Linked DNA regions of Daphnia pulex. The main gene of each other region encodes a partner of the protein of the gene in region 4 in a complex. Links are inferred from orthologs where the notes say so. Each region holds a gene or a part of one and is shown on either strand. Other genes may lie near its edges.

Region 1 (2,424 bases), on a different chromosome or scaffold from region 4:
TCTCGAAATATATCGTATAACGCCTTACAAGTAATATTTTTTGTTTGTTATTGCTTAGCATGGACTTAGCCAACAAGTAAAAAGTACTGCAAATTTTCTGGAATTAGTATATATATGTAAACAGCATGTTTAATTCTAATGCTAAATTGCATAGAACGACATCATTCGCTGTGTTTATTGATTATTGAGCTCATAAAAAAAACAATTCTCAGTCTAAGTTTAATTGTTCAAAGGAGATTAACCTTTGGTCCTTAACCTTTTAAGCATTACCTCTGACAAAATAAGGGATGGAGTTCAGAGTATAATTTACATATCCATCCATTAGCCATGCCATAAGATAATTTACAAAGAAAATTTACTGGTAATATTCTGCATATACTTGAGGTATGAAAAATTTACAAATTTTAATACCAAAAATTAATATAGTACCACTCAAGATAATTACAGTGATTGTAAGGTCTCAAACTTCACATGAGTAAAGCACTAGAGTACGAAAAGAGTTTCAAGCATCTTAATTTCATATATTCCATTCAATGTCACATTCACTTAAAGATTAGGAGACATAGACAAGATTGTAACACAACATAACACAACAGATTATCAAGTGGAAGATTGTTTGTAGCTTTTTGTGTCAATAATTTTCTTTCCACACATCGAACAGATTCCTTTTTTATAAGCACAAGGTTGACCTGTAAATTCCAAATTACAGTAATTTTGTTAGACTCAATTCAGCTTCTTTTCTTATAAATTCTTTGGTACTTACAATAATACGATCCATTTTGATGAACTTTCTGTTTACATATTCTGCAGCCTTCAAATTTCGGTGTATATGGGTTGAAACGATTTTTTGTAGAAGTAAGAGCTTTGTTTTCATTGAGCTTGCGACCACCACCTTCTGTGGTATTTCGAGCTCCTGATTTCCATGGGTCTGGAGTTATAACTTTACCCAGTTTTTTCTCACATTTATCGCACACCATCTTTCTACAGGCTTTAACTGCGTTTTTAGTTTAGTCAATCAACAAAAAAACTTCAAAGCTAGATTCGAGTCGACTAGTCGAAGCTTTGTTTTTGCAAACTACCACCTAGCGATCATAAGGCAAACTTCAGTTAGTTCACATAGACAAGCAGAGATGGCTTTAACCTTTTCTAAGACTGGGATGGTTAAATCTATTGCCACGACATCATGTCGTGGCAATACGGTCGAAACTGTCTATTGCCACGACATCTGTCGTGGCACTATCACTGTCGTCGTCACTAGAACGCCCACCCGACACTAGAACGTCCATATTTTAGAAACGAAACTAGAACGGAAAAACTATTGCGACATTAGAACGGCTATAATAAAACCTGCGGTGGAGTTTAATTCTTTACCGCTAGATGTAGGAGATGTATCCGTTTAGGTTGCGCGAATTTTGAAACAAATTAACGCTTTTAATCTTGTCAAAATAACGCAGTCTCCAATTCCCCCATAAAAAAAAAACTGGGCAAAAAACCGAAACCTGAATCTGGGCAAACAAACATGATGGCACATTATTATAGGTATCAAAGAAAAATAAAGAGAGTTGACTTGAAGGCTACCACATCGGTAGCCCGTCACGGAATTTTATTTGTGCGTGGGCTATAAAATTGATTTTCCATGATTTTCATGAGATGGCTCTTCGGGGTGTAATAGATCAAATCAGAGGAGCTATATCCGTGGATACGAAATATATTATATACAGTACCCTCACAAAGTTTGGAAACACGGCGAGTGTTTCCGCGCTTCTAACACGGCGGCTTACGGGCCAATGTGTCTCCCTTTTTTCGCGATAACTCACGTTTGAGTTATCGCAAAGCAAATTTTAAAAAATCTTCTTGGTGAGGAAAGAATTTTCTTTCACCATGATTTTTTTCAGATTTTAGTAAATTGAACTTTATCCCCAAAGTGCTAGACATAAAGTTTGGAAACATCGGCGCGCTCGCCATATGTTTCCAAGCTAAAGTGTATGCTAGTTAAAAAATCATAAAAAATTGAAATTAATAAATTTTTACTTGAAACTTTTACCAACGGTAGACGACATAGTCGTCTACATTTGGACAAAGTTTCAAATTTTTCTAATGAAACTCTGATTTGTCCCGATTTTTTAAAAAACAATTCCGATTTATTTTGGTGGCGCAGGGACGAAATCCTAGCCCGGGGGAAGAATAGAAGAGGGAAAACCGCCGGACCCCTTTGTTCTCCCCTATTCTCTTCCCTCTATTTTTCTATTTTAAAAAATCGAGAAAAATCAGAGTTTCATTAGAAAAATTTGAAACTTTGTCCAAATGTAGACGACTATGTCGTCTACCGTTGGTAAAAGTTTCAAGTAAAAATTTATTAATTTCAATTTTTTATGATTTTTTAACTAGCATACACTTTAGCTTGGAAACATATGGCGAGCGCGC
Region 2 (3,976 bases), on a different chromosome or scaffold from region 4:
CAGGGTTCTCGGTTTCCCTTCCATTTTTCCCGCCAAAATACAGTGTTTCAAAATTTAAGACCGCGTGAAAACGTGAGCTTTGTAAATTAAATAATTAAATGTTATGCAACGAAGCAAAAGGTTTTCTTTGACTAGTCTTAACATTTTTTAACAATATTTTTTCTAACTACATTTTGGGATGAATTGAAAACCAGAAGATTTTTATGTACTCGTTCTTTACGTGTGGCATTTGGCTGCTTGTTGAAAGCTAATACGTTATCACAAACAAGGAGTGACCCTAAATTATTCTCAAGTAGGTATTCTAAATTGCTAAGAACCTCATCACTATTTGATTGCCTAAAACATTCACGCTGAAATCAGTGATTATATAATTGACAAGCTAAAGCTATCCCGACTCGGGATAGCTTGGGATTCCCGAGCTATCCATAATATAAATAATCCATAAGCGCATAATAACTCAGCACATTACTGAAGTAATAATACAAGTTTGCGCCAACAAATCGTTTAAAAATCAAGTTGTATTGTACGGTACAGGAGATGGCGAGTTAATAACGACGCCGTTTTAATAAGTCGGGCTTCCAGTTGATGGGGTGTGTCTCTTCATTAGCTTCGTCGTCCTCTTTGTAGATTTTGATAGTTTTATCTGCTTCGGCCGTTATGAGACGTGAACCACTGTGGTCAAAGGCCATGGCAAATACTCCAGCTTCACTATCCATTGAGCCTGGTTGCACGGGGGCCTTAAATTTGAATAGGAACAGTTAAAGAAACGTTCAAAACACAGTTTCAACTAAATGCATTTATACCTGTGAGCGCTGGAAATTGTATCCAGTCTTGAAATCCCAGAAGTGGAGTGATCCGTTATCAGCACCCGATACCATTACGTTGTCAGCATTGATGGCAAGGCAATTAAGAATGGCATTGTGGCCCGAAAGATTCTGAATAAACTTGCCTTCGGGGCACTTCCATTGTTTGATATTATCCGGCGAGGCGGATGCAAACATGTAGCTGCAACATAATTTTTTAAAATTAATTGTACATTCAATGTGTTGTGAAATAATGGGTTAGCTTCATACAGGTTAGGGTGCATTGCCACTGCCCGGACACTTTTCTTGTGATTCGTCAAAGTAGCCATTGATCTGCCAGCCGCCAAATCCCATAATCGAATAGTGCTGTCATGACTACTAGTAATAATCTATGGTTTCGAAAGGTAAAATTAAAATTCTGGATTATGAGTGTCGAAAACTGCTTTGAATACTTGAGGTTCGGCTGCTTGACAAACAACTGATGCTACGGTGTTGGTGTGGCCAGTTAGGGTATGAATGTTTGCTTTGGATCGCATGTCCCAAACACGGGCAGTAGAGTCACGACCACAAGTTACTAAAACGTCGATGGTTGGATGAAGGGCCATACTATAAACGGCACTCAAATGGCCGTGGTAGTGCCGGATAACCTGAAAAAGATTTTGTTAATATTTCTTACACGGTAAATTGAAATGGTGATGGCTACTTTGTTGTACTCCAAATCCCAGCATTTCACTTGTCGATCTTCACCAGCACTGAAAAGGTACGGATGTCTTGGGCTGACTTGAAGAGCACGGACGGTGCTGACATGGCCTGTAAGCGAAAGTTTCAGCCGTCCAGAGGCCAAATCCCAAATCTATAAGAATTTCAAAATGAAAAACTTGACTCTTATAAATGTAAGGAATAAATTACCTTAATAACTCTGTCAGCAGATCCTGTGCAAAACCATTCATTCGTAGGATCAACAGCTACACAGCGTACCCAACCAATATGACCACTGATAACACGACAAAGTTTCCATGGTGGATGCCACTGTGGCTTGGGCATTGTTGGGGCTTTACGGGTTATTAAAGATTGTGTATTGTTTGTGGGTCCACCTAATAAGATTCTTTTTTAGTAAATAGATGGGAAAACAATGACTGCATATTTTTCTCACCTGCAGCATAGCCTGGTATACCAACAGTTGATACATTTGCTGAAGATTGTGGCATCTGATGTCCCCCGATTGTTCCTGAAGGCATAAGAGCCAAAGCTTGGCTGGTCTCTCCATCTTGTTCTGTAAAAAAATAAACATTCCACTTAAAAATACATATTTCCAATCAATATAGGGGAAAATAAATTACCAGATTTGTTAGTTAGAGCAAGCTGTCCTCCAGGGTAATTTACCGGAAGCCCTGTTTTTTTCGCTATCTCTTGTTGTTTCCTGACCAGTTCAACTATTGGACCATACGTATCTTTAGCTTTTGATGATCGCCAGGCAGACACTCTAGATAATCAAATAGAATTGAGTTACTTAATACGTTGAAACAATGTAAAGTTATTTCAACACACGCTTTTTGATCAAGAGGAGGTAGACTACCCTCTTCTGACAGAAACATGTCGTGGGTTCTCTTCAGTGATCGAAACACTAGCGTATGCACGGAATGCTTCTGAATATCCTGTAGAGATATGAAATTTTGTAAATTAGAAATTGTTCATAATTTTTTTAATTGCAAAATTTACCTCTCCCATGATTGTTGTTATATTGTAAAAACGAAACCAAATCAAAATTTACATGAGGTTTGTACTCGATTGTTGCCGGCGTTGTCTAACGTACTGATCAAATCGCCATCTGTTAGTGACTAACAGAAGATGTAATTATTCACGCCAGATGGCTTCTATTGGAAGCGTCGCCGGCAACATGGCACATTGAAATTGATTTATATAAAAAAAACGCAAAATGGCGGCATCTAGCCATGAGTCGGCTTGGTGTTTATGTGTATTTTGATGCAATCAGGAGTTTCAAAGTTTGTCAACAAAAAAGTTTTGGGCTTGTGGTTGCCCATAGAATCGGGTGAAGTTTTTAGTGGCTTTGGTTTGAACTTTGATAGTGGGCCGTTCCGAGCTGGTCAATAAGTGACGCGTTTTGGATTACTCGTTTACTGACATTTAGATACAAGTGTGCTACAAATTCGACAACAGCATGTCGAGTACTTTTGTGGCAGATACCACAGACGATAGCTCCTCTGCTGGAAACACACTAATCATTATTGTTGATAATGACACTGGTGACATATCAGTTGATCAGGAAACACTTCAACTTCTTAGTAAGTCGTCACATTTTGGAGGGAAATCATGTTTTTATTCATTTACCTTATTTTCAGGCTCTCAAGAGAATACAACTCTAAGCGTAGTTAGAGTCAATGATGTTGCAGGTGACAGCAGTACTGATGTCAACATAACTGTAGAAGAAGATTTCAACCCAGTCTCTAGCCCTGTACTCAAGGAAAACGAGGAAGAATTGATGGAAACTGACCAGGAAATTGCTCAAGTTAATGGAAATGTCAAAGCAGGGCCAAAAATTAGTGAGCAAGTTTTAGAAACAACAGATCCACTCTTAGCTCTTGATCAGGAAGAGATCGAGAAAATTGAGCATGCATTACAAGCAGAAGCTGGGGCTTTTTTCAACAATATTCTCCCACCAGAAGCTGGTCTAGATGACCTGCTTGATCCCGAACTTACAGGAGGTTTGCCAAATAACTTTGTGTAGTAGTAGTAAGTGTATCTAGATTATATTATTGTTTTTTCTATCCAGCTCCGGATGACACTGAGGCTGTTGCGTCCATCTCACTTGACCATTGTTATTCAGCTGCGCATGGCCCGGCAATTAGTAACTCGAGAAACGCCGACAGTGCGATGAGTTCTGAAGTTGATAGTTCTGATAGCGTTTCGACGGGTATAGGTGGTGGTGGTGGATCAACGCGCCAACCTTCACCTAAGCGGCGTTCCCAACGCCAGATTGACCGGCAAGAAATGGAGCAATTAAAGAAAATCCGAGCAGAAAATGAGGAACTTCTCAAAAAGGAGAAGGAAGAGATGAATCAGATCCAACAAGTCAATACGCCTAAGAAAGAAGCCGAGGCGGAACCGGAGGAGACTCTCTTCGTAGCTATACCAGAGCCTGTTGCTGTTGCTCC
Region 3 (3,946 bases), on a different chromosome or scaffold from region 4:
ACCATCAGCTGCTGCGCCACAAGCACCCCGGTGCCAAATCAAGTTCCCCTTGTGCCAAGGCCTACATAGTATAGTCTGAGCGAGACAAGGCGGCCTATATCGATCGATCCGTCCAAAGAGCCTCAACCAACCCCCACCACCCAGCCAACTGTATTATCGCACAAGGGAAAAGGCGAAACTGCTATACACACACATATATAGTCTTGGATCAAATAGATGATATATATACAGAGGAAGAAGAAGACTTTGATAATGAGACGTGCTGCTGCTGCCGTTCCTTTATTTATTGGAGACCGGCATCAGCACATCTCGTATTGATTTCCTGTTGCAAAGAGAGCAGCCGTCGTCGTCGAAAAGTTCCCAAATCTTGTCCTACAACTGTCTCTCTATTATCGGATGTACTGTATGCATTGTGGATGCATTATAAAGCCCTACGCCGCAAAAGAGATTTATTGGCCCACACATTGAAAGTCGAAACGGAAGGCGGAAGAGAGACGGAGATGAGGCGAGCTCACGGTCACCGCACATCCACATTTATCATTTGTTATGGGACGAGACTCTGAACTGCCTCGCTGATTCGCATCGCTTCAAAATGAGAATCTATTCACTATAGTATATCAAACTCTTACGTTGGCATTTATGGCCACCGGATTTCAGACTGTTAAGCCAGCTATCCGTTGATAAATCAGATGGTGCAACCCTCCCAACGAGAACAGCATTTATTTTTACGACTGTGTCGTCGTCGTGGGATATATTGGCCAAAGTGAAAGTTTTTAAGGTGTTTACTTTTTTCATATGGCGATGCGCTCAGTTCCGCTCGGCGTCCAACTTGTAACACAGAGAGGGTCGATTTCATCAGCGCTCACTTTTACACGTCGGCGTTAATTGCGTTGCATCAAACGAAAAACACAGTGGGCGGCAACTCGTTATATTTTGCCTTGCCATTAGATGTTATTACAAGCAGATTGCAAGAGACGCGAAGTTCCATTAGAGTTGACAAGCGTTCGTATTTCAACTCGGGGCGGGTATGGATTACTTGACTTTCTTATTCTTTTCCACCCACTCTCGACTTTCATCTCATTACCGTAAAAAATGCCAAGAACGGCTGCGAGGAGAAGGAAAAAGGTTGTTGACTGCGCTCTTATTTTTTTATGGAACGGAGAAGAAAAACGTCGGAAGGAATATGAGAGAGAGACTGTAATAAGAAAAGGCGCGCTAACACTCTCATCTCAAGTGCGTCTATTTATTCCGCCCATCATTAAACCTTATTGGATACATCCAACGCAGAGCATACACACACACACGGCGCCACAATCTTGTAAAAAGTTTTCAGGATCGATACGACGTTTTTCCTTTTTTTATATAATTCCCATCACGTCTTGAGCGCCCCATCCCATTGATGGAGACACAATTTTATGTAAACTCTGGATAATTTAATAATATTCTTTTTTTTTTAATTTGTATCGAATAAAATGTCGATGTTGCGAAAAGCCGAAAATATCCCGCATTTTATCTCGCTCTGTTGCGAAGAAACAATCTGACAACGTTGCATCATAAATTATTCTCGAGTTACAATTTTTGTATTTGGCAACATCTTGGTTGAAAGACTCGACTGAAAACATGGCGTCGTTATCAAGGTATAATAATTATTTTTTTGATTTCCTTGTATTTAAACTATGTATTAATTATGGTCATGTTATTTTATACAGTTATCTCCCAGCGCCAACGCAGTTGACGTGGGATCGAGATGTCGAGGAGCAAAAGGAACGTGCTAATCGCCAAACGGCCATCGTGGCCGCCACAAAGGCAATCCCACCATACGGAAATCGCGATTCATGGATGCCTCGAAATGTTTCCGATTTCGGAGATGGAGGTGCTTTTCCCGAAATTCACATGGCCCAATATCCAATGGACATGGGTCGCAAAGACCAGGCTGGACAAAAGTCAAATGCCTTGGCCATCCAACTTGATGCAGAGGGAAAGATCAAATATGATGCTATTGCCAGGCAAGGCCATGGGAAGGACAAACACGTCTACTCCAAATTCACTGATCTCCTGCCTGCTGAAATTACCAATGAGGATGATCCCTCTTTGCACAAGCCCACAGACGATGAAATTGCAGATATAACAGAGAAAACGAGACAAGCCCTGGAAAGAATCACCAATGCCAAAGTAGAAGCAGCTCTTCCAGTCCGTGCCGCAGAGAGAACTGGCCCTGCTCAATTCATTCGCTACACACCAGCACAGCAGGGTGATGAATTCAATTCTGGCGCCAAACAACGCATTATCCGCATGGTTGAAGTACAAAAAGATCCCATGGAACCCCCAAGGTAAATTTTAGAAAAAGTGCCATTTCATTTCATTCCCATATTGACTGATTATTTTTCACTAGGTTCAAAATCAACCAAAAAATCCCCCGTGGTCCACCTTCTCCTCCTGCCCCCGTGTTGCATTCTCCTACACGTAAAGTAACTGTCAAGGAACAACAGGAATGGAAAATTCCGCCTTGCATTTCAAATTGGAAGAACGCTAAAGGTTACACCATTCCTCTTGACAAACGTTTGGCAGCCGATGGTCGAGGACTTCAACAGGTGCCGTCCCTAACGACCTAAAAACGTGTCTTTCCCCAATCAACTAAATGTTGTTGTTTCTCGCAGGTTCACATTAACGAGAAATTCGCGAAATTGGCCGAATCATTGTACATAGCCGATCGAAAGGCCAGAGAGTCGGTTGAACTTCGCGCCCAACTTCAAAAGAAACAAGCGCAAAAAGAAAAGGAAAAGAAGGAAGATACTCTGCGACAGCTGGCGCAGCAAGTCCGCGAAGAGAGAGCAGGTCTGCGACCCGGTGCAGGCGCTGCTGCTGCTCGTGAAGACGACGATGATGCAGCGGAGCGTGACAACTTGAGACAAGAACGGCATCGTGAGCGTCAACGTGAGCGCAACATTGCACGCGCGGCTCCCGGCGATAAAAAGTATTAAACATTTGATTTCCTTTCAACTTTTTCCAGTCAATTAATTAACAATTTCCATTGACGCGTAGATCCAAACTCGATCGCCAACGCGAGCGTGACATTAGTGAGCAGATTGCATTGGGGATGCCTGCTCGAGCTTCTGCAAGTGGCGAGACCATGTACGATCAGCGTTTACTGAACCAAACTCGTGGAATGGACAGTGGATTCGCCGATGATGAGGCCTACAATGTCTACGACAAACCTTGGCGTGAACAAGGAACTCTGTCCAGTAATCTCTATCGTCCGACCAAGAACCTCGATCAAGATTTGTACGGCGACGATTTGGATAAACTTGTCAAGACCAGCAAGTAAGTTGACCTACTTTCAAGGTGCATTGGTTTATGAAGTTGAAACTCATTTTGTTTTTCATTTGTTTACAGGTTTGTACCTGATAAGGAATTTAGCGGAACTGATCGTTCTGGTCCTTCCGGCTCCCGCAGTGGTCCAGTTCAGTTTGAGAAGGAAGAGGATCCTTTCGGCCTCGACAAGTTTTTGACGGACGTCCGCAAGGCCAGTAGCAAACGACCCACTGACGCGGAACGCTCAGACAAGGACAAGGATAAGAGACGGCGTCGAGACTAAATATTGTTTTTCTTTCCGTTGACGATTTCGCAATTTGTTTCATTTTACCTCACACAAAAAAAAATCTTTTTAAAAAAACCACAAAAACAATGATTCCTTTTCTCCAAGACCAGAATACATTTCAAATGAAATGTCTGTGACTAGTTTTATTTATTCATTGATTACGAGACAAAACACTTGATTCAATACTGTAAAGTGACGAAACATTTTGCAAGAATGTACATAATGGTAAATCGAAAATGCAGCAGAAGACTTGAATATCACCAGACAAGTGTAAGTAATAATCATCATGAAAAGAGTCCAGTGGAAAGTCCACGATAAAAACACCTAGCCTCCAGAAGCCTGTGTAGC
Region 4 (4,066 bases):
CCCATGTGGTTCAGGGCTCCTAGAGCGTAGAGTTGTTCCAGTGCCAAAGCCAAAGTCTCGTGCGGAGGCGGATCCAAAAAGTCGAAGTGAATCAAATCGTTGATTCCAAGTGATTTGAGAAGCAGAACGACGTTGCCTAAATTAACTCGCTGAATTTCTGGCACAGTGTTCTCTTCAAGCTCGTGCTTGTAGGCCCATGCTGTGTATAGGCGGAAACATTTGCCAGCTGCTACACGTCCAGCACGTCCAGCTCGTTGATTCGCCGACGCTTTCGAAATAGGAACGACAACAAGGGATTCCATGCCAGTTCGGGCATTATAGGAATTTTGCTTGCAAAAGCCTGGGTCAATGACGAAGATAATGTTGTCAATAGTCAAAGACGTTTCTGCGATATTCGTAGCCAGAATGCATTTCCGTGCTCCGGGAGGCGTTGGCTCGAAAATTTTTGCCTGGCAAGAGAAAATGAAAAGATATGAAAAGGATAAACTTTGAATAAGCAAAAACGAACCTGCATGTCTGACGGTAAATTTGCGTAGATAGGAAGAATAAGCAACTCTTTGATCCTGGTGCCCAATCTTCGAGTACGTTCCGTCAGACTCTCCAGTGCCGTTTCAATTTCTTCTTGACCAGTAAGAAAGACAAGAATGTCACCCGAGTCTTGTGTGACGTGAATCTGTAGAATAGTGACAACGCAAGCATCGATATAATCAGCCTCAGGAGCTTTGGTGTAAAAAATTTCGACTGGGAATCTTCGACCGGGAATCCTAAATATAGGAGCTTCGTCGAAGAAATCGGAAAACTTTTCAGCGTCCAATGTAGCACTGGAAATTAGCAGCTTCAGGTCAGGTCGAAACCGTGCAATATCCTGAAAGAATTTATAGGAAATTATTCAACAATTTAAGAGTTGTTGTGTAAGGACGGCTCACCTTGATCAGCCCAAAAAGAATATCGGTATGGAGTGTTCGCTCGTGGGCTTCGTCAATAATCATGACACTATAGCTCTGCAAATCGGGCTCAGAGAGAAATTCACGCAGCAACATACCGTCAGTCATGTACTTGATAACAGTCCTCTCTGACGTGCAATCTTCAAATCGAATGCTGTAGCCTACTTCGTTACCGAGTTTCTTGCCCATTTCCTGTAAACGGAATCGCACAAAATAAGATCCTTGTCAAGATTACAATTCTTGATTGAATTCTACCTGGGCGACACGAGCAGCAACACTCATGGCTGCAACTCGACGTGGTTGGGTACAACCGACTTTCTTGCCATCTTTACAGTATCCCGCTTCGTACAGATACTGGGGAATTTGCGTCGTTTTTCCTGATCCAGTCTCTCCTTCCACGATCAGGATCTGATGGTCTTCGACGGCTTGGAGTAAGTCTTCGCGAAACGGAAATATTGGAAGCGATTTCCTCGTATCCTGAAGAGACATTTTCTTTTTCTGGATGTCGCTTACCTCAGGTTGTTCTAATATAGTTAAAACGAAAAAAAAAGGTGGAGGGATAAGATTATTAAACATTTATTCAGAAGGTTTTAGGTGTGTTACTTTACCTTCGATACCCTTGGTTCCTGCAAGTTGGTTTGTTTGGATAAAGTCAATGGTGTCATCCAATAAGAGGTCATAATCATGAACTTTTCCCTTCTCCTGAAGACGCTGTTTTGCATCTCTGGCACCGAAATTCCACTGAGCAGTGGCCATGCGAGCATCTTCCCAAACTTTTTGTTCGGAATGAGGTTGCTTTTCACGGTCATCTATCTCGACGTACCTATCAGGCATTGCTTTGTCCCGCTTATCATCGGGCATATGGTATCGTTGAACCAATTCCAATTCTCGTGCTTTGTCATGTTCTTTCGCAAGACTGAGAATTTTTTTCTTGTATTCGCGATCCTTTCGTTCACGCTCCGTGAGTTGTTGCTCATCGAACAAGTACTCATCGTCGAAAATATCTGCTTCCAATTCATTAATCTTGTCTCCTTTTCGCTTCTCCAAATATTTTCGACGTGATTCCACTCTGAGTTTGGGAATAACGCTGGCTTTGTCTTCAGCCTCCATTTGAAGCCTCTTTGCAGCTTCAGCAAAACCTAGATAATTTAAACATTTTATTTTAATAGTTATTACAAATATTAAATAGTAAATATACCTTTTCCCACAGTAACCACATTCCTCTGTTTATCTTTATCTTTGAGTTTAAGACGTTCAGAGAACTCATCTCTTTCCTTCAAATCTTTGACTCGTTGTTTTTCATCTTCATCTTCACTGCTTGAATCAGACTTCTTCTTTTCCTTCTTGATCTTTTTATTTACTGGTGGTGGAGGTGGTGCCATTCCTTCTTCATCGCTGTCTTCTATCAGCTTATATCTCTTGTTTTTTTCGATCATTGCTAACATGGCTTGTTCTTGTTGCTTGGCGGCAATTCTTTCAACATTTACTTTAGGGGCAGCTCTCGGAATCTTTCCCCATAACTCTGATAGAAAACTCATCACTTTTGCATTTGTCACATCGATAGTGTCTGTGAAACGAACTTTTTCGATAAGTTCATTCACTGAAGAACTTTTATGAGCCAGGGATGTCAAAAACTGAGAAGTATAGCGGTCACTGAAGTCCAATATCTCGATTAACTGATCGCTAACCCACGTTTCTAAACTCATTTTTAAATGTTTATTAGAAACGAATTTGTAAACAAGGCATTAATAACGTTGAGTCCGTCTGAACTTGCCGGACAAGCAAAAAAGCTACAAGATCTTCCACGGCAAACGAAGCAGACTAACTTGTGGAGTCAAGCCTAGCGGTCAAACAACACAGTCTTCACCAGTGAACTGATACTGATCCGATTCCGTGTCGTTAAAAAACGGATTTTTTGAGGGTTGTAGAACGGATTGGTTTCCGTTCTCTTACGCTAGAGTCGCATGAAGGCAATAACGTTATGCCTACCCTCTAGCGCCTCTAGCTGATTCATAATCGGATTCGTTTCAGTTAACCGATTTTTGACAAATCAACGCGTTTTTCAAATCAGTGAGCGGACCCGTTTCCGTTCACAGATTCGTTTCAGTTTATTATCAACTTGTTTTTTATAATAAGAAGCCGAAACCTTTCCATTATTTGAACGGCTTCGTTTCCGTTTCCATATCACGTTTTTAGTAAACAAATAACTATTTGCTTATTAGAATATTAACCGATTTTAATTGTGTTATTGAAAAGCAAAACAAACAAAATGTCGTCGGACAAGAATTAAGTGATCTGTTGAGAGATGCAAAAGGAGTGAAACAGGTTTGTTGTTAAAAATTTGACAGCTTATTTGTAGCCAACGATTTGATTCTCACAGAGCTTCTAAGTTATTAACTATTGTTGAGGAAAGAATTTAAATTTCTAATCTTAATCTTGTTTAATTTCTATTCCTACAACTATTTCTTTGTCTAGCAAAAACTGAGAAAGTTAATTTCGTCAGCACAGCAGCACCCAGTGACCCAGAAGGAAGGGATTGTTTTGATATCAAAACAATTCAACCTTCCTGCAGTAAACTGAAGCCTGACAAGATTCATTTAAGAGGCTGATGGAAACAGAAATATTGTGTTAGAGACTTCTGTACCAAATCCATATGGAATTCACCTTTACAACCTGCTTGAATAAGACGTTGAACAGAAGAACCTCATCTAGTCTCGTCATCACTCTCATCTGTGTTGGTAATTTAATGATCAAATTTATAAGTGACAACACTTCTGTAACCAGATCCCTTCCCTCAGGCTGCAGAGCTAAAGTTGGAATGTCTGTTGTTCAATCTCCAACGTGAAAGACCAGTCATTGGAGATTCTTTGAATTCAGACAATGTTCGAGTCAGAACTCATAGATATCCTTTACCAGCAGCACTACTACAGATTATTGCAACGAAACAAAAGGCTGAAACAACTAAAGGGAATCTAATCGTATTTCTTTTTATCTTACTCTAATGATGCATTGTTTAAACTATTTGTGATTCTGATTCAGGTGGACCGGCCTCAGAATTATTGCTCATTGATTGGGCTGAAAGGATTGAATGGCAAGGCATACCAAGCACTTCGAATACTTTG
Region 5 (4,095 bases), on a different chromosome or scaffold from region 4:
CGACGACGTTCCGCCGACCGGTGTCGAACGGGTGACTTCCTCACGGGCGAACGGCGTGGTGAAGGACGCCGAGGAGAATGATTACGAACAGGTGAACGCCTGGGAGATCTTCGAACGGGCGACCTGCGGACCGGTGACCGACGAACAGGAGATCTGCGGGCTGGGGACCTTCGAACTGGAGATCTCCTAGCGGGAGAGCGGCGAACGGGTGATCGTCTAGCTGGCGAGCGACGAGCGGGAGATCTGCGTGCAGGAGAACGGCGAGCTGGGGAGCGACGAACAGGTGATCGACGTGGAGATCGACGAGGCGAGCGCCTTGCTGGCGATCTGGCAGGTGAGCGACGACGAGGCGGTGGCGACGCCTTGCCTCGATTAGGAGAACGACGCTCCAATGAAGGACGTCGGCCGTCACGACGAGGTGAAGAGCGGGGATTGTCTCCTTCCTTCTTGATCACCCTGTCCTTGTTGGGGCTACGGCTTCTATCTTTGGAAGCTCGTTTGTCAGTACGGTCGTTGCGTTCCTTTTCTCGGTCAGCGCGCCGATCCCGGTCGGCCTTTTTGATTGCTTCCTGGATTCGATCTTGTTCTTCCTGCAAACCAATAAAGACGAAAATGATAGAAACAAAACTAATACCGCGAATTATTTCCGATGGTTGCATACCTTTCTTAATTTGATTTCTTCCTTCTTCTGTGCCATAAAGACCTCCGGAATTCCAGCAGACGATTCTTGGGCAGATAGTAGAAGATCCCACAATTCAGTCATCAGAATCCTGGCATTCTTGCCGTTGAGGAATCCAGTTAAATTGATTTGCATGCGACGAGGGTCAGGGTTCTATAGGTTTTAAGAAAAAAAAAAGACAAATAACAGAAAAATCAAACAACCGAAATGGAAAAGAGATACTTAAGTAAACGGACACAAATAGATTAGGTTTCGGTATGATCTCGGCGGATTAAGCGAGCAATACCTTTCAGGGGTTTGCTCTTTAAAAGGATAAGCTGTTTTACGTAGTTTGTTTTGGTTTGTTATTCTTGCCTGAGAGCTCGACCAGAGTGACAACAGAAAAAAATCTCTTATTTCTTTTTTTCCAATCTGGGCGTTGAGGGAGAACCGAGTTTCCCATCCGTCATAAAAACACCGGCGACTCGGTATCAAAGAGACGACCACGAAGCGAGCGGCACAGGAGTTGTCCTGTCGACTGTACCGCCCAGCTATTGGGTCGTCATCTGACTAGTCCTACTCCTGATGGCTACCCCGGCACCACGATGCGATCGATCAGGTGATTTTTAAAGATGGGATGGTCTGTCGTCATCTATCAGGCAAATCTAGCAGCTTCGACCACGTTAGCGAACGGCACAGGAGTCTTATCTCTGTCGACTGTACCGTCCTGCTTTTTGGGCCGAGACGAAAGGATCTCTTCTTCTCAGCTTCTCAACACGGATTCCTGAGTAGGCCTACTGCGATCAGAGCCCGACTTAACCACACAGGAGTTTTCCCTGTTGTCGACTGTGCGGTTAACTATCAACTGGGGGAGAAGGCGTTGCATTGGCTGGGCGAAAGGCGATCCCAGAATTGCCTCTCATGACTCGATGGTTTAGAACGTGCCGTATTCCATCATTTCGCAGGAGTGAATCCTTCATCGGTCGACTGCGAAACGTTGGAAATCCAAATCCATAGACATCGTGGCCGACGATAAGAGGAATCGTCCACGGAACAGGCCGAAAGGTGAATCAATTCGAAGAGAAGACCTCGAAATAATGCGACCAGGTCTCGGTCGAGAAAGAATCCTTGCATCCATCATGTCAAGGTGGTGTGTGTGACATGGTGACAACAAGGCTTTGATGCAATTCCACATTAAGTCTTCATAACACAGGACCCAAAAGTGTACAAGATATTGAGATGAGCATGAGCACAGACAAAATATAATCAAAGCCATCTGGGTGGTGAAAACTTAAATCATAACTTATCTTTCACATTAAACCAAATTACAAACAAGAACCAGATGCAAAGGAGCTGACGTTCAATCATTCTTAGTATGTGATGGCTATTTCAGCCTGATATTAAAAAAATTGCATAAGATAAACAGCAGAATGATTGGTGAAAAGCTTTGGTGGCAAATGTTTCCCATAAGATAAATCTACACGGCTGAGATTAAAAGGATATTACCTTGTCAGCTTCGAGCTGATTAAAAACATATTCCACCAGGACGTCATCTTCAATTCCTCCCATAAGTTCTGTAATTTTGGTTGTGATCCATGGTTTGATGGTTTCCAACTTAACTTTGCTCATATCCACCTGAATTTTTTAACATGCATTAATGAATATTAACATGTAACTCATATTGATGTTGTTAAAGTTGCACAGGTGATCAATAATTTACCTTTCTAGTCACATTTTCAGCAAATTTGATAGTCTTCAAAAGCTTCTTCTCTTTGTCACTAAATCTATTGTCTTGCTCAGTTGAGGTGCCCTGTTGAAAGAATTCAAATATTACAATGCATCCCATCAGTTAACAAAACAGATTTCACAACTGATGAAGCAAGAATTTTACGACCGAGTTGGCGTGTCGAGATGCTGCAAACAATTCAAGGGAATAATAGTTCTAACTTGGGTAATTATTAACACTTACTCTGAAGAAACCGGCATCAGTCATTGTGAAAGAAAAATACCTCAAATCGAGGTAATTCTATAAAAGTAAAAATAAATGGGAGAATAAAGCCGGGCTAAACTCAAGTCTTAAATGGAGGACCCCTAACTCAATTGATCGCCTTCCCTCTTGTCCCTTCAGTCAGGAAAATGGAAACAGCATTGCCAGTTTAGAAAAATAAATCGACTGCTGCATATGCATAGCGCCAGCTCCTGCCAGCGCTTCTGAAAGAAAAAAAGGACAAAACATATCAAATATGGGTTACGCTACGCATAACTAATTTTCTTCGATGACAAAATCAATTGGACGAATAACGGGAAAATGCCAATCTAAGGTTTCCTCTCAATTTATCGACGCGAAATAATGTATCCCGAAATCATGGCGCGTCCAACCGGTTAATTTGACTATAAGAAAAATGTCGTTTTTTCAGTTGAAGCCAAAATTGCAAGGAACCTGTTTTGTCATTTGATCCTGCGAGTAGGTAGCAAACGGTCACTGCTTATTAAGTAGACTTGAGCTCCTTGAACTCTCTTTGCCTTTATAAAATAACTGTACGACCGGTGCAACTTTGTCCCCAAAGGCTTTTTTTTTTTAAGTGTAATAAGATAACCATCAAAAAGTATAAATCAACCACAGACAGAAATGGTTGAAAAGAAGAAAAAAAAATGAATTAAGAAAATAAAAGGCTTTCTTGTTGGTTGACTGACTACATCCCTTTTAGCTTGAGCTGGCATGCGCGCACCTTTTACGTGACCGCTAGGCTATAAGACGCGGCGGTGTGCACAGGTAAAAAGCGTCTCTTCCTTCCCAAACAAAAAAAACTCCAATCCTCAAGAAAAGGGAAGAAATAAATTAGCAGCAGCAGCAGCAGCAGCGAAAGAAGAAGAAGAAGAGCCCAAAGGTATATAATAATAAAGGTGCATATAGAGGGAAAGAATGTGAATGAAGGAAGAAGAAGAAGAAGAAGGTAAGAAAAAGAGCCCCTGGAGCATAAAGGCAACAAACTGTATTTGAGAAAACCTGGTTGGATGGAATTGGTTAGAGGGGGGATTGGGAGGTAAAGTTGTTGCTTCTTCTTCTTCTTCTTCTTCTTCCCATCTACCAGCAGAGACTGTTTTTCAAGGTGTGCAGTGCCAGTGGGTATTGGCGGAGGCCATGGAACAGAAGCAGAAACCAGGCCTTCTTCCAGGCTGACTCTTTCTGCTGCTGTGTCAATTCTCATTCTCACCTGACGACTGAACATACAACAATCGACATTGCCCTGCTAATTGTGTCAAACAAATTAAACTAATCAAGTGCATTTTACCAATCGATTTCGAGTTAATAGTGCGTGTGTTAGTGTGTGTTGAGTGTCTGGTGCACACCTGAGTCATGGCTTTCTTGTGTCCAGTGAGGATACGCCGAGGCAAGAAGAAAAAAGGTAACAAACTTGTCCAATTTTTCCAGACGT
Region 6 (4,081 bases), on a different chromosome or scaffold from region 4:
TAAATTTTAAAATTATTAAATCATCACAATGTTCACAGTTAAACCCATATAAATAGCTAAAATACCGCTGGCATATTTTTCTATGTATTTAGAATGCTGATGACTATAAAATCATAAACCCCATGGCTCAAGTTCCATCACTAACAATTGGGGACAAAGTTTTCACTCAGTCGGTAAGAGGGACACTATATGAATATGACACTATAGATATATAAGACCTTCCAGTTCAAATTTCAATGCATAATTTTTACTTCCATCTCCTGTACATTTAGGTAGCTATTTTGGAATATTTAGAAGAATCTTATCCTTTAAAACCCTTATTGCCAAAAGATGGTGTGATTAGATTCAAAGTGAGAGAAATATGTGAAATTATTGGTTCTGGGATTCAACCCTTACAGAATTTGGCTGTACTTAAACAATTTGAAGAATCTAAACAGAAAGATTGGGCTGCTAAGTGGATTTTCAAAGGACTCACTGGTAGGTGAAGATCTTCATGAATATATCAATAAAAAAATTAATAAACTCTAAGAAATATGTGCAAAGTTTATATAAAAACCCAATTTTTTATTACAGCATTAGAAAAAATATTAGAAACTTCCAGTGGAAATTACTGTGTTGGAGATGATGTTACAATGGCTGATTGTTGCCTTATCCCACAACTGTACAATGCAAGGAGGTAAAGACTAAAGTTTCCATGATTCGTTTCATGTTCTCTTTTTCTCACGCTTCGTCTGAATAAGGTTTGATGTGGACGTGGCACAGTTTCCTAATATTGCTCGTGTGGAAAAGAATCTCGAAGTTCTTGAGCCTTTCGTAAAGGCTCACCCGAGCCGACAACCAGATTGCCCGCCTGAACTTTCAGCATGAAAATAAAACAAAAAAATTGATGTGAAATAGTCGGACTTCAGTCCATAGAATAACGATATTAAACGATGATTATAATTTGGTCGATGGGTTGCGAATACGGGAGAATGAATTGCAATGGAACTTGTTATGCTGTTTGATATTTACTGAAAAATAAACAAAATTTGCCATTATCACTTATCAGATATTTGCAATATTTATGTCTTGAAACTATAGAATAAATAGAGTGTATTCCAGTATTCCTGTAAAACTGAAACCTGAAAAGTGCTAAATCCGGTTAAAATCTTTCAAAAAACCTGTTGAAAGCTGGTAAACAATCAATCTGGCAACGTCCGATTCGTCGTCTGTTCGGTTCGTACGAGTCGCGCTCGCGCAACTGCAATCTGCAAGAAGCATCACTTGCTCGTGTCAGTTCAATACTACAGTACCAAGTGTCAGTCATAGACTCATATCTGTTAAAACCTTATTTTATTTTTTTTACAAGTGCTCATTTAAAAAGTAATCTAAAATGGATTCGGGTGGATTCGGTAAACCACAAAAACCTCCTAAAGTTGCCAAGGTTGTAATACTTAAATGTAAGAATGCTCTTGACATTACTTATAACACATTTCTCTTTAGGTTAAAAACAAAACACCGGCAGAAATTCAAATCACTGCTGAGCAGTTGCTTCGGGAAGCTAAGGAACGTGATCTTGAAATTGTTCCACCAGTAAGTGTTTCGGCAATAGATAACAACTTGAAGAACTGAAGTAAGAAATTTTCTATTTTTAGCCCCCTAAACAAAAAATTTCAGATCCCGATGAGTTAGCAGACTACCAGTACAAGAAACGCAAAACCTTTGAAGATGCTCTGCGGCGTAATCGTAATGTTATTACCAACTGGATCAAGTATGCTCAATGGGAAGAAAGCCAAAAAGAAATTCAAAGAGCCAGAAGTGTTTTTGAGCGTGCTCTTGATGTAGACCATCGTAACATTACCCTTTGGCTGAAGGTAATTAATTTTCATTTGTTAAATCTGTGAAATAATAAATATCTAATTTTAAAAAAATTTAGTATTCAGAAATGGAAATGAAAAATAAGCAAGTCAATCATGCCAGAAACTTGTGGGACCGTGCAGTTACAATTTTGCCTAGAGCAAATCAGTTTTGGTATAAATATACCTACATGGAGGAAATGCTGGCCAATATAGCTGGTTGTCGTCAAGTATTTGAAAGGTGGATGGAATGGCAGCCAGATGAACAAGCTTGGCAAACATACATCAATTTTGAATTAAGGTAAATAAATGTAGTAAATACTAACGTTACACTTATCAACGTCCAATTTTTGTCCAATAACTAGGTATAAAGAATTAGATCGTGCTCGCTCAATTTTTGAACGGTTTGTCTATGTGCACCCGGAAGTAAAAAATTGGATCAAGTATGCCAAGTTTGAAGAAAGGAACGGTTACATTATCGGTGCCCGCCAGGTGTATGAACGGTCGGTGGATTTTTATGGTGATGATCACATGGACGAAAGGCTTTTCATAGCCTTTTCCAAGTTTGAAGAGGGCCAAAAAGAACATGAACGAGCAACTGCTATTTACAAATTTGCTCTCGAACACATGTCAAAAGATAAAGCAGCAGAATTGTACAAAGCCTACACAATTCACCAGAAAAAATTTGGAGAGCGTGACGCTATAGAAGACGTTATTGTCAGTAAAAGAAAATTTCAGTATGAACAAGAAATTAAAGAAAATCCATCAAATTATGATGCATGGTTTGATTATTTACGCCTAATGGAAAGTGAAGGTATTTTGACTTACTATCAAATTTTTAAGGAATTGTGTCGAATGTGTATTGTATCTTTAGGTGACGCTGACGTTGAAGTAGTGCGAGATACATACGAAAGAGCTATTGCCAACATCCCGCTAGTAGCTGAGAAGTCCTTTTGGCGTCGTTACATCTATCTGTGGATTAACTATGCACTTTTCGAAGAACTGGAAGCCGAAGATTATGAAAAAACTCGACAGGTCTACGATTCATGTCTTAAGCTCATTCCGCATCGTAACTTCACATTCGCCAAAATGTGGCTCCTTTACGCCCATTTCGAAGTTCGACAGAAAAATCTGCAATTGGCGCGTAAAATTTTAGGTACTGCGATTGGTAAATGTCCAAAGGTAAATATGTTTCAGTATTTTTTCTTTCAAATATGAAATCTAATTAGAGGCCAGTCTATGAACCAGTTTTTAATAAATCTGGTTATTTATAGAACAAGTTGTTCCGTGGATATATTGATTTGGAGATCCAGCTGAGAGAATTTGACCGCTGCAGGACATTGTATGAAAAGTTCCTCCAAAACGGTCCAGAAAATTGCACCACTTGGATGAAATTCGCCGAACTAGAAACTTTACTGGGAGATGTGGATCGTGCTCGCGGCATTTACGAGCTTGCCATCAAGCAGCCTCTACTAGATATGCCAGAAATTCTTTGGAAGGTAAATTAAACTTTAAATATGTGCACAGATCTCATTCCTAATGGAGTTGTGTTTGTTCTTCAGGCTTACATCGATTTTGAAATCGAACAAGAGGAGAATGATAAAGCCCGATCGTTATATGAGAGACTTCTAGAACGCACGCAGCACGTAAAAGTCTGGATGAGTTTTGCTCAATTTGAGCTCACTCTAGCAGCATCTCAGCAGGAGGACCCAAGTTTGCCAGTCGCAGCAGCTAGAGCAGTCTTCCAGCGTGCAAACAAGTTCGCATTTCTTTGCTTTGAACTATTAGCCTCCGTAAATTACCTTCTTAATTCCCCATTATGTTACTAGGTCGCTACGTTCTATAGCTCAGTCAGTCGGTCTTGAAGTGGCTACCAACAAAGAGGAGCGATTGATGTTGTTGGAGGCTTGGCAAGAATTCGAATATGAATATGGAGATGAGGGATCTCGCAATGCGGTTGTTAACTTGATGCCTAGACGTGTGAAGAAGAGGAGGCGGATCCAAACACAAGATGGGGTATGTGATAATATTTTGCGTTTAGATGCAAAATTTTGTGCGTTGCAATGTTTTTTTCTTTTCTTTTTTTTTTTAGACCGATGCTGGTTGGGAAGAGTATTTCGACTACATTTTCCCCGAGGATGAAGCTACTAAACCCAATCTTAAGCTCTTGGCTATGGCCAAAGCTTGGAAAATGGCAAAAGAATCCGCTCCATCAAACCAGGAAGAGGAACTACCCAAAAGCAATG
Region 7 (3,507 bases), on a different chromosome or scaffold from region 4:
TAGACAACACGGACAACAGGGCACACCTGAAAACGGCCGGCCCACTTCGTGCCGTGACCTTCCTCCCTTCTCTTTCGACACACTCAGCCAAAGCGCCATCTGGCCATAGCGCACTCGACACACTCAACAGAAACGACCCCAACGCCTTTTCTTTCTTTTCTTTTTCTGCTGCTGAACAACAGAAGAAAAATGATTTGAAGGCAGCCAAGGCCGGAAAGGGTGTCATCTTCCGGATAGAATTTTCCGATTCAACCACGACGGACGATTCATGAATAGCCGCACCTCCTCTACAACATGGGTTGGGCAACTTTCACGAACTGCTGGTAGAGTCGCGACTCGGAAAATGTGCAAAGTGTTGACGCCATCCGCATGGAATTTCCTCCGCGCGCCTCTCGTTGAATCTGAAAAAAACCCTGCAATTTTGAATGTTGATGGATGGGCCCCATTCCGTCGAGGTAATAAAAAGGGAAATGTTAAGAACAAGGACAGGCGTCATTGGCTACTAAAAGTAATTGCATGGCTTTATTCAGTCAAGGTAAATTCATCATCGGAATCACATGTCGGATACACTCCATTTGTAGGCTTCCTCCTGAAGGGCCACGGCGTTGTTTTGTTTTTCAAAGTACATCTTCTCGTAGCCAGTCGAGCGGTCAACCCCGTCCCATCTGTAGCCGGGTAGTATACCGAAACGATTGGGAGCAGCAGCAGGGCCCCTGTAGACAGGTCTAGCGGCTTTCCCCTTGCCGTCACCACCGCTCTTGACCTTTTTCTTGGCCATGTAAGCAGCCATGGGATCACCTTCACGATCTTGTTCGCGTAACAACCTTTCCAAATCTTCGTCATCGGCGAAACGAGCCAGCGGTTTGGACATTTCGTGAATGGCTTCGGCAACTTGCGTCGAATGCGTTTCTCCTTGTTTAAGACCCTTGTTCCATTTTTGGTAAGCTTCTTGCAGCTTGGCAATCTTCTCGGCTTTTTCTTTATCAACCTGTTGCTTGGCTTCAATTTGGCGCAGCTTGCCAGCTCGGATGGCAGTCGTGGCGTTCTGCCCAGTGAGTGATTTGTCCATTTTGCGGAAGGCTTCCTCTTCTCTCTTGCGTAATGCATCAGTCTCCTCACGCAAAGCTCTGCCAGTCTGAAGGCCGGCCATCTTTCCATCTAGGGTTTTGGTCAGTTTCTCCGAAGCTCCTCCGCTGCGTGATGTTGATTTATTAGGACGCTCAGGGCTGAGGTCTCCGTCTGGATCTGGTTTGATGCGCATTTGGGCACCGGAATCAACGTTTTTCTTCCGCCGCGGAGGACTGAGATCACCGTCAGCATTTTGATGCTTTCTTGGTGGACTCTGGTCGGAATCGGAGCCTTTACGCCTTCTTAATGGACTTTGGTCCGAGTCTGAATCGTGTCGCTTTCGTTGTGGGCTTTGATCCGAGTCTTTCCTTGTTCTTCGAGGAGGACTAGCATCTGAGTCTGAATCGTGACGTTTTCGTGGTGGGCTTTGATCAGAGTCTTTTCTCGTTCTTCTAAGTGGAGATGGATCAGAGTCTGAATCATGGCGCTTTCTTCTAGGTGGGCTGGCATCTGAATCAGAATCGTGTCTTCTACGTGGAGGACTGGGATCTGAATCTGAATCATGTCTTTCTTTCTTCACTGTGATTGGTCGTTTCAAGGCAGTGGAATCTTTCCTTGGTAAGTGACTGTCACTTGAATCAATATCTCGATCACTTGATTTAGACATGGATTTTGGTTTGTCATTTTCATCCACACCAAGTCTCTTCCACTTTGAACTTTCCACAAAGTCTTGTTTGGTTATCATTTCTATGGAACGATTATCGACAACCCCAGCCACCAGAGGAGCATCTTCTTGGTTGTCAATTTGGTCTTCATCTTTCTCGTATCCTGCAGCTATCTTCCTCAAATCTATTTCTTCATCAACGATCTTGATGCCCCTAATAAGTAAATGAAAACAAATTGACTAGATTAAGAAAAAGCTTAAGTTAAAATTAAAAAATGATGTGTATTGTCTAAAGTTCACAAAAAGCCTGACTTACCCTTTGGCTTTCAGTAAGGGCCTGAGTTTCTTTTTCTTGACTTTATTTTCTTCTTTTTTCGAAGAGGACATGTACTTTTTCAGATATTCTAATTTGCTCATAGGAGCACTCATTTTTACAATAATTTCAGGGGAATATTTACAAACCGTAATCCCTCGCGTTTGTCAACGCTTTCACACGAAATATGAATACAAGCTCCACCTATGGTTAACGCGTGAAACTATACACCATCTATCGGGAAGTTTTCAAAATAAAAAAAATTGTTTAAAAAAAATAGATTTATGTAATAGCGATTTTAAAGAAATGTATTCATTGCCTATGGCGTTTACATTTTTTACAAGAGTCACCCGTCAGTTAAGCATGCGACCTGTCTTGTGTTAAACCACAAGCAACCGATGGTCTGGTTGGCTTGTCAAATCACCTTAGTTACTGTCCAGGTATTTGCGTGCCGCTGCATATGGAACACGCAATCTCGAACCCGACTTTCTACCCGCACTTCCCGTGCTTTCATTGTCATATTTTCAGCTATTTAATAACCTGTTTCTTTTCAAACCGTCGTTATTATTTGAGGTACAGTAAACGAGAACGGAAGGGTGTGGAGAAGTGATCGCAGCGAAACGATGGCGCAAAAACCCAACTGGATTTTAATTTGCACGGCTTCTGTAATTTGTCTTATCATAGGTATCGTAATCATTTGAAATGTTACTGTATGTGTTGGTTTGACTTCATCTTTCCACCTGACAAAGGAATTCTCATCGGTCGTTACGCTATCGGAAATGATAGGGACGACGTGTCGCCTCAGAAGGCGAAAATGTCTGCCACTTTGATGGAGGAGCTCAGTGCATCAAATATTGGCGAATATCTCAAGTAAGTCCAACATCATCGCTAATCAAAAGACAAATTTGATTCATTGTCTAATTAACTCCCAAAATGATTGTCACAGATATTTGAGCAGTATACCGAATTTAGCTGGAACTCCACAGGATTTGGAAGTGGCTAGTTGGGTGCGCGATCGTTTCGTCGAGGGAGGATTAGACGAAGTCCAATTGGTTCCTTACAAGGTGCTGCTTTCCTACCCAGACATGAGCAACCCCAATCAGGTCTCGCTACTCGACTCCAACGGCAAGGTGAACTTCACCACCTCAGGACGTCAGACGCCACTCTTTTCCAGCGAAGAATTCTCTCCGTTAGTTCAACCCAATTTTAACGCTTATTCAGCTAACGGAACTGTCGAGGTGAAATTAAATTTCTATCGTTGTTTTATTGATGACACTTAACTTAATTACACCATTTCATAGGGGGAACTCATTTACGCAAATTATGGTCGGAAACAAGATTTTGAGTACTTGAAATCTCTCGGCATAGACATTCGTGGTCGAATTGTGATTGCTCGATATGGGGCGATTTTTCGTGGCAATATCGTAATCAATTATTTTTAAAAATGTATTGAATTATTACT

The links.
Region 1: pre-mRNA-splicing factor ATP-dependent RNA helicase DHX16-like (region 4) and cysteine-rich PDZ-binding protein-like share a complex: the UniProt entries of both Homo sapiens proteins name them as parts of the minor spliceosome. The link is inferred for Daphnia pulex from reciprocal best matches to the Homo sapiens genes DHX16 and CRIPT.
Region 2: pre-mRNA-splicing factor ATP-dependent RNA helicase DHX16-like (region 4) and pleiotropic regulator 1-like share a complex: the UniProt entries of both Homo sapiens proteins name them as parts of the minor spliceosome. The link is inferred for Daphnia pulex from reciprocal best matches to the Homo sapiens genes DHX16 and PLRG1.
Region 3: pre-mRNA-splicing factor ATP-dependent RNA helicase DHX16-like (region 4) and puff-specific protein Bx42-like share a complex: the UniProt entries of both Homo sapiens proteins name them as parts of the minor spliceosome. The link is inferred for Daphnia pulex from reciprocal best matches to the Homo sapiens genes DHX16 and SNW1.
Region 5: pre-mRNA-splicing factor ATP-dependent RNA helicase DHX16-like (region 4) and serine/arginine repetitive matrix protein 1-like share a complex: the UniProt entries of both Homo sapiens proteins name them as parts of the minor spliceosome. The link is inferred for Daphnia pulex from reciprocal best matches to the Homo sapiens genes DHX16 and SRRM1.
Region 6: pre-mRNA-splicing factor ATP-dependent RNA helicase DHX16-like (region 4) and crooked neck-like protein 1 share a complex: the UniProt entries of both Homo sapiens proteins name them as parts of the minor spliceosome. The link is inferred for Daphnia pulex from reciprocal best matches to the Homo sapiens genes DHX16 and CRNKL1.
Region 7: pre-mRNA-splicing factor ATP-dependent RNA helicase DHX16-like (region 4) and BUD13 homolog share a complex: the UniProt entries of both Homo sapiens proteins name them as parts of the minor spliceosome. The link is inferred for Daphnia pulex from reciprocal best matches to the Homo sapiens genes DHX16 and BUD13.

The regions. Positions count from the first base shown.
Region 1 is NC_060021.1:4,590,300-4,592,723, reverse strand, and holds cysteine-rich PDZ-binding protein-like, read right to left. Parts: upstream 1,098-2,424; 5' UTR 978-1,097; coding exon 764-977; intron 690-763; coding exon 601-689; 3' UTR 501-600; downstream 1-500. UniProt on the Homo sapiens protein: As a component of the minor spliceosome, involved in the splicing of U12-type introns in pre-mRNAs. Involved in the cytoskeletal anchoring of DLG4 in excitatory synapses.
Region 2 is NC_060021.1:1,388,871-1,392,846, forward strand, and holds pleiotropic regulator 1-like, read right to left. Parts: upstream 2,649-3,976; 5' UTR 2,532-2,648; coding exon 2,523-2,531; intron 2,459-2,522; coding exon 2,352-2,458; intron 2,287-2,351; coding exon 2,144-2,286; intron 2,077-2,143; coding exon 1,957-2,076; intron 1,898-1,956; coding exon 1,713-1,897; intron 1,657-1,712; coding exon 1,507-1,656; intron 1,451-1,506; coding exon 1,256-1,450; intron 1,193-1,255; coding exon 1,074-1,192; intron 1,006-1,073; coding exon 804-1,005; intron 738-803; coding exon 546-737; 3' UTR 501-545; downstream 1-500. Other genes in the region: death-inducer obliterator 1-like, read left to right, coding at 2,983-3,106, 3,164-3,526, 3,595-3,976. UniProt on the Homo sapiens protein: Involved in pre-mRNA splicing as component of the spliceosome. Component of the PRP19-CDC5L complex that forms an integral part of the spliceosome and is required for activating pre-mRNA splicing.
Region 3 is NC_060018.1:216,233-220,178, forward strand, and holds puff-specific protein Bx42-like, read left to right. Parts: upstream 1-1,146; 5' UTR 1,147-1,620; coding exon 1,621-1,637; intron 1,638-1,709; coding exon 1,710-2,330; intron 2,331-2,392; coding exon 2,393-2,591; intron 2,592-2,657; coding exon 2,658-2,974; intron 2,975-3,042; coding exon 3,043-3,321; intron 3,322-3,393; coding exon 3,394-3,595; 3' UTR 3,596-3,730; downstream 3,731-3,946. Other genes in the region: uncharacterized protein LOC124188708, read right to left, coding at 3,883-3,946. UniProt on the Homo sapiens protein: Involved in pre-mRNA splicing as component of the spliceosome. As a component of the minor spliceosome, involved in the splicing of U12-type introns in pre-mRNAs.
Region 4 is NC_060022.1:5,692,132-5,696,197, forward strand, and holds the start of pre-mRNA-splicing factor ATP-dependent RNA helicase DHX16-like, read right to left. Parts: upstream 2,801-4,066; 5' UTR 2,651-2,800; coding exon 2,143-2,650; intron 2,084-2,142; coding exon 1,553-2,083; intron 1,469-1,552; coding exon 1,200-1,468; intron 1,137-1,199; coding exon 927-1,136; intron 866-926; coding exon 509-865; intron 450-508; coding exon 1-449. UniProt on the Homo sapiens protein: Required for pre-mRNA splicing as a component of the spliceosome. Contributes to pre-mRNA splicing after spliceosome formation and prior to the first transesterification reaction.
Region 5 is NC_060027.1:2,460,189-2,464,283, reverse strand, and holds the start of serine/arginine repetitive matrix protein 1-like, read right to left. Parts: upstream 2,801-4,095; 5' UTR 2,652-2,800; coding exon 2,628-2,651; intron 2,469-2,627; coding exon 2,379-2,468; intron 2,294-2,378; coding exon 2,165-2,293; intron 1,852-2,164; exon of another isoform or gene 1,034-1,851; intron 833-1,033; coding exon 662-832; intron 591-661; coding exon 1-590. Other genes in the region: SH3 domain-containing protein Dlish-like, read left to right, coding at 4,017-4,065. UniProt on the Homo sapiens protein: Part of pre- and post-splicing multiprotein mRNP complexes. As a component of the minor spliceosome, involved in the splicing of U12-type introns in pre-mRNAs. Involved in numerous pre-mRNA processing events.
Region 6 is NC_060026.1:11,199,262-11,203,342, reverse strand, and holds the start of crooked neck-like protein 1, read left to right. Parts: upstream 1-1,281; 5' UTR 1,282-1,372; coding exon 1,373-1,423; exon of another isoform or gene 1,424-1,426; intron 1,427-1,482; coding exon 1,483-1,572; intron 1,573-1,634; coding exon 1,635-1,853; intron 1,854-1,915; coding exon 1,916-2,136; intron 2,137-2,200; coding exon 2,201-2,649; intron 2,650-2,709; coding exon 2,710-3,017; intron 3,018-3,109; coding exon 3,110-3,334; intron 3,335-3,397; coding exon 3,398-3,594; intron 3,595-3,664; coding exon 3,665-3,851; intron 3,852-3,927; coding exon 3,928-4,081. Other genes in the region: probable maleylacetoacetate isomerase 2, read left to right, coding at 93-173, 273-477, 574-676, 741-867. UniProt on the Homo sapiens protein: Involved in pre-mRNA splicing process. As a component of the minor spliceosome, involved in the splicing of U12-type introns in pre-mRNAs.
Region 7 is NC_060019.1:12,606,436-12,609,942, reverse strand, and holds BUD13 homolog, read right to left. Parts: upstream 2,185-3,507; 5' UTR 2,162-2,184; coding exon 2,049-2,161; intron 1,947-2,048; coding exon 554-1,946; 3' UTR 501-553; downstream 1-500. Other genes in the region: glutamate carboxypeptidase 2-like, read left to right, coding at 2,669-2,729, 2,795-2,915, 2,992-3,283, 3,347-3,469. UniProt on the Homo sapiens protein: Involved in pre-mRNA splicing as component of the activated spliceosome. As a component of the minor spliceosome, involved in the splicing of U12-type introns in pre-mRNAs.